Saccharomyces cerevisiae S288C: one gene and its partner. The gene in region 1 interacts genetically with each later gene. Each region holds a gene or a part of one and is shown on either strand. Other genes may lie near its edges.

Region 1 (5,440 bases):
CCAAGCGATACCGTCCAGTTTAGAAAGAACACCGCAGCTCAAGAAAGTCAAGGTTACCAGGTCGCATTCTTCACCTTCTTCTTCTTCTTCCATGTCACTTGAATCTTCATTGGATAGCTCTTCCTCAGATGATTCGGATGATGATTCTGATTCGAGGAACGTGCAAGTTAAAAAAATTAATTTCAAAACAAGTCATGGACCAGCTGGAAATTCTAATGGAAAACCAATGCTGGATGTGGATGACAATGAAATAAATACAAAGAAGTACCAAACACCTAAATATGTTGAAAGTGATGAAGACGACCAGTAAGTCTGTCAGTAATTATGTTGGGATCTCTCAACCATATCTTAAATATTCTTGGCGAATTGTAGTAATTTTTTAGACTGGTTAATGATATCATAATTAAATCTTCAAAAGCAACCAACAAAAGAGAACTAATAGCGTACGGTATGCATCAATTATATATGATTATAACGGACTTTTATTCATGGACGTTTATATCATTCTGGATTATTCGTCATTATTGTTCATTGTTGAACACAATATAAAAAAATATAAAATATGGTTGCTAAGAGATTCGAACTCTTGCATCTTACGATACCTGAGTATTCCCACAGTTAACTGCGGTCAAGATATTTCTTGAATCAGGCGCCTTAGACCGCTCGGCCAAACAACCACTTATTTGTTGAAAATTTTAGAATTCAAGTATACCCAGTCATGTATTAAGTTAATCTTTATGTCATCTTTCTAAACTTTATATGTGTTGGAATAAAAATCCACTATCGTCTATCAACTAATAGTTATATTATCAATATATTATCATATACGGTGTTAAGATGATGACATAAGTTATGAGAAGCTGTCATCGAAGTTAGAGGAAGCTGAAGTGCAAGGATTGATAATGTAATAGGATAATGAAACATATAAAACGGAATGAGGAATAATCGTAATATTAGTATGTAGAAATATAGATTCCATTTTGGGGATTCCTAGACCGGAGAGGAGAACTTCTAGTATATTCTGTATACCTAATATTATAGCCTTTATCAACAATGGAATCCCAACAATTATCTCAACATTCACCCATTTCTCAATATGACAACATAGATATTAGTTGATTTTTATTGCAACATTTATATGTATGAAGAGATGACTCTAAACACTAAAGCTATAGTCATATCTGATACAATCGATCAGTGCGTGCCTTTAATACTTCTCTCATTATAGAACGATACCTTTGATTCCTAGTTTACAATACAACAATATCGAAAATTCTTTCACGAATGCACCATTCAGAAGGGGAAAGAGTGACTTTACACAAAATTTGTATTGGAATAATAATCAACGATCATGTGACTACTATTCAAATTACTAGTAAGAAATCCCAACAATCATCATAAATTCACCTATTTCTGAATTTAAAGTCCCTTTCATTTCCTATTGAATTATTAATCGCTACATTTCTGCTATTGTAAAATTGATGACAATTTATTTAGCTGATTTTTCAATTTACGCTATCAATTAAACTACTGTACGTGATACTATTCTAGCAGCACAGTAGATTTCACTAACCCGTTATGTTGAGTAGTTATGGTGCATTAAAAATTGAGTACGTAGCGATAAAAAACAAGAATATTCAGGAACTTGAGCTAAGGCAAGGCTGGAAGAGAATCAATAGTTTCTAAAGTTTTTATCGTTTTGTTTATGCTTCGATATTTTTACTTCGTTCATTTTGATATCTAGAGGCAGCTTCCCTTCTGATTCTCCCGAGTCTGTTACGGTAATTGTTTACATAAACAAAAAGAGTATCCTAATATTCGATCACTTCTCTCAAGTCTTGTTGTAAGCCTTAATTTCTTAATCTTGTGTGGTTCCGGAAGCCTAGTTTTAAGTCCGAAAGTGATCGACGGGGAAATTTGTTAACGCCGTATCCGTACTAGAACTCTCGGCGGTTATTTGCCAATTTTTACTCCAACGGGGATCAACATCAGCAAGAAAGCAAAGGAGGATGGGGTAAAAAAACAAGGAAGACAAGTAAAGAAATTATATAAGAAGTCGTTTCTGGCTGCTTTACTCCCAGTGTTGAAAGGTAGAAGGACTTATCAGCTAATTTATTAAGCAAGGTACACATATACGAAGCTAAACAAACATTCGATTTATTTCTTATTTGAGTAAGCCATGCCTGGAAATTTATCCTTCAAAGATAGAGTTGTTGTAATCACGGGCGCTGGAGGGGGCTTAGGTAAGGTGTATGCACTAGCTTACGCAAGCAGAGGTGCAAAAGTGGTCGTCAATGATCTAGGTGGCACTTTGGGTGGTTCAGGACATAACTCCAAAGCTGCAGACTTAGTGGTGGATGAGATAAAAAAAGCCGGAGGTATAGCTGTGGCAAATTACGACTCTGTTAATGAAAATGGAGAGAAAATAATTGAAACGGCTATAAAAGAATTCGGCAGGGTTGATGTACTAATTAACAACGCTGGAATATTAAGGGATGTTTCATTTGCAAAGATGACAGAACGTGAGTTTGCATCTGTGGTAGATGTTCATTTGACAGGTGGCTATAAGCTATCGCGTGCTGCTTGGCCTTATATGCGCTCTCAGAAATTTGGTAGAATCATTAACACCGCTTCCCCTGCCGGTCTATTTGGAAATTTTGGTCAAGCTAATTATTCAGCAGCTAAAATGGGCTTAGTTGGTTTGGCGGAAACCCTCGCGAAGGAGGGTGCCAAATACAACATTAATGTTAATTCAATTGCGCCATTGGCTAGATCACGTATGACAGAAAACGTGTTACCACCACATATCTTGAAACAGTTAGGACCGGAAAAAATTGTTCCCTTAGTACTCTATTTGACACACGAAAGTACGAAAGTGTCAAACTCCATTTTTGAACTCGCTGCTGGATTCTTTGGACAGCTCAGATGGGAGAGGTCTTCTGGACAAATTTTCAATCCAGACCCCAAGACATATACTCCTGAAGCAATTTTAAATAAGTGGAAGGAAATCACAGACTATAGGGACAAGCCATTTAACAAAACTCAGCATCCATATCAACTCTCGGATTATAATGATTTAATCACCAAAGCAAAAAAATTACCTCCCAATGAACAAGGCTCAGTGAAAATCAAGTCGCTTTGCAACAAAGTCGTAGTAGTTACGGGTGCAGGAGGTGGTCTTGGGAAGTCTCATGCAATCTGGTTTGCACGGTACGGTGCGAAGGTAGTTGTAAATGACATCAAGGATCCTTTTTCAGTTGTTGAAGAAATAAATAAACTATATGGTGAAGGCACAGCCATTCCAGATTCCCATGATGTGGTCACCGAAGCTCCTCTCATTATCCAAACTGCAATAAGTAAGTTTCAGAGAGTAGACATCTTGGTCAATAACGCTGGTATTTTGCGTGACAAATCTTTTTTAAAAATGAAAGATGAGGAATGGTTTGCTGTCCTGAAAGTCCACCTTTTTTCCACATTTTCATTGTCAAAAGCAGTATGGCCAATATTTACCAAACAAAAGTCTGGATTTATTATCAATACTACTTCTACCTCAGGAATTTATGGTAATTTTGGACAGGCCAATTATGCCGCTGCAAAAGCCGCCATTTTAGGATTCAGTAAAACTATTGCACTGGAAGGTGCCAAGAGAGGAATTATTGTTAATGTTATCGCTCCTCATGCAGAAACGGCTATGACAAAGACTATATTCTCGGAGAAGGAATTATCAAACCACTTTGATGCATCTCAAGTCTCCCCACTTGTTGTTTTGTTGGCATCTGAAGAACTACAAAAGTATTCTGGAAGAAGGGTTATTGGCCAATTATTCGAAGTTGGCGGTGGTTGGTGTGGGCAAACCAGATGGCAAAGAAGTTCCGGTTATGTTTCTATTAAAGAGACTATTGAACCGGAAGAAATTAAAGAAAATTGGAACCACATCACTGATTTCAGTCGCAACACTATCAACCCGAGCTCCACAGAGGAGTCTTCTATGGCAACCTTGCAAGCCGTGCAAAAAGCGCACTCTTCAAAGGAGTTGGATGATGGATTATTCAAGTACACTACCAAGGATTGTATCTTGTACAATTTAGGACTTGGATGCACAAGCAAAGAGCTTAAGTACACCTACGAGAATGATCCAGACTTCCAAGTTTTGCCCACGTTCGCCGTCATTCCATTTATGCAAGCTACTGCCACACTAGCTATGGACAATTTAGTCGATAACTTCAATTATGCAATGTTACTGCATGGAGAACAATATTTTAAGCTCTGCACGCCGACAATGCCAAGTAATGGAACTCTAAAGACACTTGCTAAACCTTTACAAGTACTTGACAAGAATGGTAAAGCCGCTTTAGTTGTTGGTGGCTTCGAAACTTATGACATTAAAACTAAGAAACTCATAGCTTATAACGAAGGATCGTTCTTCATCAGGGGCGCACATGTACCTCCAGAAAAGGAAGTGAGGGATGGGAAAAGAGCCAAGTTTGCTGTCCAAAATTTTGAAGTGCCACATGGAAAGGTACCAGATTTTGAGGCGGAGATTTCTACGAATAAAGATCAAGCCGCATTGTACAGGTTATCTGGCGATTTCAATCCTTTACATATCGATCCCACGCTAGCCAAAGCAGTTAAATTTCCTACGCCAATTCTGCATGGGCTTTGTACATTAGGTATTAGTGCGAAAGCATTGTTTGAACATTATGGTCCATATGAGGAGTTGAAAGTGAGATTTACCAATGTTGTTTTCCCAGGTGATACTCTAAAGGTTAAAGCTTGGAAGCAAGGCTCGGTTGTCGTTTTTCAAACAATTGATACGACCAGAAACGTCATTGTATTGGATAACGCCGCTGTAAAACTATCGCAGGCAAAATCTAAACTATAATACAAAAAAAGATTTGAATAATATAAAAAATAGCGATTATATTCTTTTCATTTAACAGCTTTGTTAAGCCATATCCTTACATACATCTTTCCCTACATAACTAACCTACCCATTTTAAGTACTTTTTCTTTACGGACGCAACTTTTTTGTCATGTGTAATATTAACAGTTTTAATCTATATAGAGGAAGAGGATGGATAATATTACAAAGTGTATATAGGTTGTATATAGATACATGCATATGATGGGAAGACTATGAAGAGAGAGATAGTCATCATGGTAAGACATTTATCCAGAAATTCATGAATTCCGTTTCATGAGATATTTTGTCCTCACACCTAAACATCAAATGATTTAAACCTTCTGATAAGCGAATATCAAAGATTTCGGTTATATTATTACGTTTATCATTATCGTTACCAACAATATCGTTATTGTTGCCGCCGCCGATTGTCAAATTTTCTATATCTTGCTTCGTATCGTTTCCAATAACATCATTTTCTTGTTGCTGAGGTTGGGAAAGGTTACTGTTTACATTTGAAGTTCTAGACTTCACTGG
Region 2 (5,221 bases), 370 kb from region 1:
TAGATTCTCAGGATTCTACTTTTCTTGATGAAAGAGAATTCATCGTTCAAGAAATTGATTCCTTGCCGCGTATAATTTCGTCCACAACAGAAGTTTCTAATAATAATGCATCCTCAAGTAACGTCGCCAGTATAACTTCTCCATCATCAGTAATGAACAATCAATCATCCATCTTAACACATTCAACTTCACCTGATTCAAGATAACTATAAAACTTGGTTCACTTTATAAAAAATGGAAAGTTCTCAGGCAGTGGGTCGTGACATGAATATTCAAAAGTAAAATTATATATAGGAAAGTGTTTATTTGCATAAAAAGGGAAAAATAGTTCAGACTTTTGTATTTTTACGTATTTATACAAAAAAAGGTTGGTACCGGAGGCTGAGGAAGCCAGTACAGTTGGATCCGGTACATGGAATTGAGCAATCAACCGTAAATATGAGCGCTTTCTCAAGATATTAAATTATTATAAAACAATTTATTTATCCAATTTATACATGATTTGGATCCTCCTTTGGCTATGTATGTTACCTCTCCTTTCCTTCTTCCTTTTTTGTTTTAACTTTTTTGTTCAAGCTTTTATTGTTTCTTAGTAAATTTGATGATGCTGAACTAGATGGTTGGGAAAATAGTGGTAATCTCTTACTAGTCTCCTGCCCTGTAGGTGATGTGATTCGCTGCCCTTTATTTGCATTAAACAATGCATTAGATTTGGACGTTTTTGGATCTTCGATCTTTTCAAAAAGATTCAGGTTAGTTTCTGATTTACGAATGATGTTGGATTCTTTAGCAATTGTCAGATCTTTCAACTTCCGCTCCCAAAGTGGCACCTGTTGATCCAAGATGGCATTTAGTTCAAGAAGTTTTTCTTCATTACATAACCTTTCCTTCGGGTTAAACGGTCCAAATTGGTATCCGCCTTTACCATCAAATTTTAACAGATAGTTATGAAAATGCCATAAACTTGTCCTGTGGCAAACTGATATTAACGAGATACCAAAATTTTGCGCATTTTCGTACATCCTTTGTTCCATTTCTGGGGCTACTGCAGATGTACATTCGTCGAGCACAGCAAACTTGGGTTTATGATAGTACATCCTTGCCATAGCTAACCTTTGTTGGACACCAATTGTTAATTCTTCGGACCAATTTCTTACTATACTGAATGCATCACGAACTTTAATGGCGCATGGTGACTGATTGTCTTCCGTCGACAACTGCTGTGAATCATTTTTGGAAGTCCTTTGCGCCAGCAGAAGTGACATATTTTCAGTGACTAAATCCTCCAAATCTAATAATTGCAGAATTTTTATTAAATCTGCATCGCCTAGATCATAATCATTGTGATATCTTTCTTTGAATTGTTCAATACTGTCTGGATAAATAATCTGTTCCCTGAATGTCGACCTATTGCCCATATACGGCCTTTGGGGTAAATAAAATATTGCGCAATCTCTATCCACAGTTCTACGCGGCATTATTAACTTGGATTGATGATTTTTATTGGGAGTCGCCCTTATCGGCCAAAGCCCGCCTAGAATACGAAATAATGAAGATTTACCGCAACCGTTGGGCCCAATAATTAGTAGATGATTTCCATGCTTCAGATCAAAACTTAGCTCCGGTACTAGAACTTGATTGGCAGGTGTTATTAAAGGAATATTTTCAAACTTTATCCTTGAATCATCATATTCCACTATACACCTTTCATCTCTTGGTTCTTTTTCGTCATCACCTTTATTAGCATCCAACAAATCATTGAACTTGTTCAATCTCAATCTGATACCGCGTAATTGTTGTATATTTCTCTTCAGTTCCACAAATCTTCCGATAGAGCTAGATGCAGTGACTAATAATCTTCTATTTGTGATGAAATCAGCCGTCATATCATTCCCGGGTTCCTTAAGCTGTAAGGTGTCTTCACTAGGTTTGTTTTTGAAAAATATTGGAATCGAGCATAGTACCAAGCCAGCTGCGCCCCAAGTATATTTAATGACAAATGCAGTAGCAACATCATAAATAGCTCTTGCCTTTATTTCTCTGTTTAAAAATAGCACCAAACGGTAAAATGAATAATCAACGTTTTCTAGTTCCCTCTTTTGCCCTCTTAGCAGTGCAATTTCTTCATTGCTTGAATGTAGATTCGAGTGTAAAGATCTGAACCAACTTTCCAAAGATGCGCTTGCCATAGTTAACCTAGTGAAATTCGGTTGAATCAATTTTAGTAATGAATTGGAGGCGTAGACAATTAAGCCCAGTGCCAAAGTTCCTTCACCCATAACACTAGTGTTTGAGGTTAATAATTTGAATGAACAGAGGATCAAATCCAGCATTGGCTTTAATAGCTGATTCAGTAATAATGACGAGTTCATTGAAAATGTGTAAATATCTTTTGTCAAATTATCCTGAATTTCTGAAACAGATTCAGCAGAAGCTACGGAATAGAAAGTATGGTGATTAGATAGATACTTTGAGAGTAGAAAGTCTGAAACTTTCCTATTAATAGTGACAGCACAAAGTTTTGTCGTGTAACTGATCAGTGAATTAATAAAACTGGCGGGAATTCCAAGGATCATCCATTTCCCCAACAATATCTTTGTGAAGTTTGCGTATTGAGCTCTTACTAGTGTGGACACTAATTGACCATCTAAAGTAGCCACACGAAGAGACAGCAATGTTCTGATGTTCAGAAGAATAGCCTGTGTAATAAATAAAATGAGGCACTTCTTATCATGAAGCAAAAGTTTGAACAAAAAATCTACCTTTCCTTTTCGCTCTCCCCCCTTATGATTAGTCTTGCTTTCTTTATCAATTATTATTGCACCATCTTCTGAATCTGTGCTATGTTTGGAGACTATCGTTAACTCTTCTTTGCTACTTTCATCTTCCTCTCTATCTACTGCGGTTTCTTTTCCCTCTTCAATTTTCTTATTTTCTAAAACCGTTGACTCAGAATCCTTCTTATCAGTTTTGTTGTTACTAGAACTGGAATTTGAATTGTAAAGCGTGGCTAGCAACAATATTATGTATGAAGAACGCAGTAAATTTACTCTATGCTTCTGATAAAATGCAGAAGCTGTTGAGATCATTATAAAATCTTTCTTCGGTAACTTTTAATTGTATTATTATCCCTTTTGAGTCTTTTCCATATTCAAGACGAACAAAATACAGATAACAATGTTGAAGACGTTTGTTTTGTACCGGATTGAGGACAAGATGATACTTAAATATAATATTATCTTTGATCGAGCAAAGCCATCAATATCATCATCTAACATTCACTTTACTCCACATTTCATTGCCGCCCTTAATCTTTCGGAGGGTGGTAAAAACTTTACGGTGATAGTTGTAATTAACGCCGAAGGAATATACATCAAAGACGAAAGAACATTAATTGCATATATTCCAAAAATATGAATAATTACCAAATTATTATTAATTTTTGTTTTGAAATTTAAATAAAGCTATTAAATAAGGATGATGGTGTGGTATGTACTATAATTCAATATAAGAGATTAAGATAACGCTGTAAATGGTTTGGTACAATTGAAAAAAAGTGATAGAGCATTTACGAAAAAGAAAAAAATTATGCTACCAAATGTGCATTATTGTTAACAGGTCCATTTGAATCTTTTGGTGTCACGTCGGGGTGACTTAGCTCTGTTCTATTACTCGTACTACCTGTGACATCTGTATTATTGGCAGAACTACTGTTGTCGATAGCGGTTATTTCATTACGATTCACCTGTTTTTCGAAATCAGCATCATCATCATCACCCAAGTTATGGTCGCCGAAACGGTCTGCAGAAATGGCAGAACCATCCCCATACGTGTAAATTTCGCCTTTCCTATTCGTCACAGATCCGGACATGTAACGACCACTCCGTCTGTTCCTCCACCACGTATAAATTATCAATCCTGTGGCGATAAAAGACAACGCAAATGCTGTCCATATCAGCCCTGTATAGGCGGGACCGGCTTTAAACACAACACCATATTTATCATCTGCCGTACCGCTCTTTATAATGGCAATCATAACGGATATGATAATGGCTGCCAATACAGTGGCTACACCAACGCAAACGTGTAGAGCTAGGGCAATGAGCCATAATGGTTGTTTGAACATATATCTGTTAAAGTACAGTAATATAATAAAAATCATGGTAAAGAAGGAAAAGATGATCGCTAAGAGGTTCAAAGCCAAAACAGACCTCACTGCTGGCACATATTGGTGCTCTCTGTGTAAAAGTTTCCCTTCTAGGTAAAGATCGTTGGCGCTAATATTCAGGGCGTTCAGATATGGTTGGAAGTCTGATGTGACTAATGCGTCATAAATAATCGATCTAAAATCCAAGTTTTGTACAGCATGTGGGGAGTTACAATCTAGGATCTTGTTTTCCAGGTTAGCATGGCATAGCGTGAAAATGGATAAGCGATAGTAAATCGGAATTTTCAGATACTCTAGTATATTCGGCGTCATGGCGTTCAATTCTTCTGCGGAAATCGGTTGGACGGATTTGGCATCCGCTAATATATCTAAAATGGGCAAGAAGGTCTGAGGGTTTTCTTGAGCCCAGGAAGTCAGCGTCACTAAAGATGAAAATGTTGTTTTAGGATCAGTGGATGCCCCTAAAAGACTGAAGAGATATGGAATGTACTGTACGGAGCTTGAATTACCGGATAGGCCCGATTGTAATTCGGACAAGATGGACAAAGTTTCGTTGGTGTTACTCGAGGAGCTTATCACATCATCTAATCCAATTAGCTGTTGAGTAGATTGAGTTGTATTTGTCACCGCAGCTAGAGATTGGACCGAAGTGACAACCATTGTCGAGTTGTCCGAATTTTCCATCAATTGGGTTAAGGCAGCAAACGCCTTTTTTGCAGATGATGACTGAGTGAGGTTTTGTTCCAGCAAATCAGATAGAGTGCTCAATGTCTGATTTGTAGAGGTGGTCTGGTTTAGCAGCAATTCCACTGCATCAAATGCGGGGGCGCTTGCCTGCGGCACTAGTGGTTGCAAAGTACTAAACGTGTTATTTAGGGAACCTCCGTTTGAAATTGTGTTTTGTAACTGAGTTAATAGTGTTTGGGCTAAAGAAGATGAAATAGTAGTGTTCATCAAGGTCGCCAGAGCCGTCATTGTAGCTGTTTGGTTCGTGGAGAAAGCGAATAGCCTGAATACCGGTAACAATTGCGCCTTTTCTGACATTGTCAGATT

Evidence for each region.
Region 2: of FOX2 (region 1) and PXA2, changing one enhances a phenotype caused by changing the other (phenotypic enhancement), as found in Saccharomyces cerevisiae (one study listed by BioGRID).

What each region holds. Positions count from the first base shown.
Region 1 is NC_001143.9:453,794-459,233, reverse strand, and holds FOX2 (bifunctional hydroxyacyl-CoA dehydrogenase/enoyl-CoA hydratase FOX2), read left to right. Parts: upstream 1-2,179; coding exon 2,180-4,882; downstream 4,883-5,440. Other genes in the region: TOF2 (Tof2p), read left to right, coding at 1-310; RSC4 (Rsc4p), read right to left, coding at 5,156-5,440. UniProt on the Saccharomyces cerevisiae protein: Second trifunctional enzyme acting on the beta-oxidation pathway for fatty acids, possessing hydratase-dehydrogenase-epimerase activities. Converts trans-2-enoyl-CoA via D-3-hydroxyacyl-CoA to 3-ketoacyl-CoA.
Region 2 is NC_001143.9:85,698-90,918, forward strand, and holds PXA2 (ATP-binding cassette long-chain fatty acid transporter PXA2), read right to left. Parts: upstream 3,090-5,221; coding exon 528-3,089; downstream 1-527. Other genes in the region: HYM1 (Hym1p), read left to right, coding at 1-206; FAT3 (Fat3p), read right to left, coding at 3,587-5,221.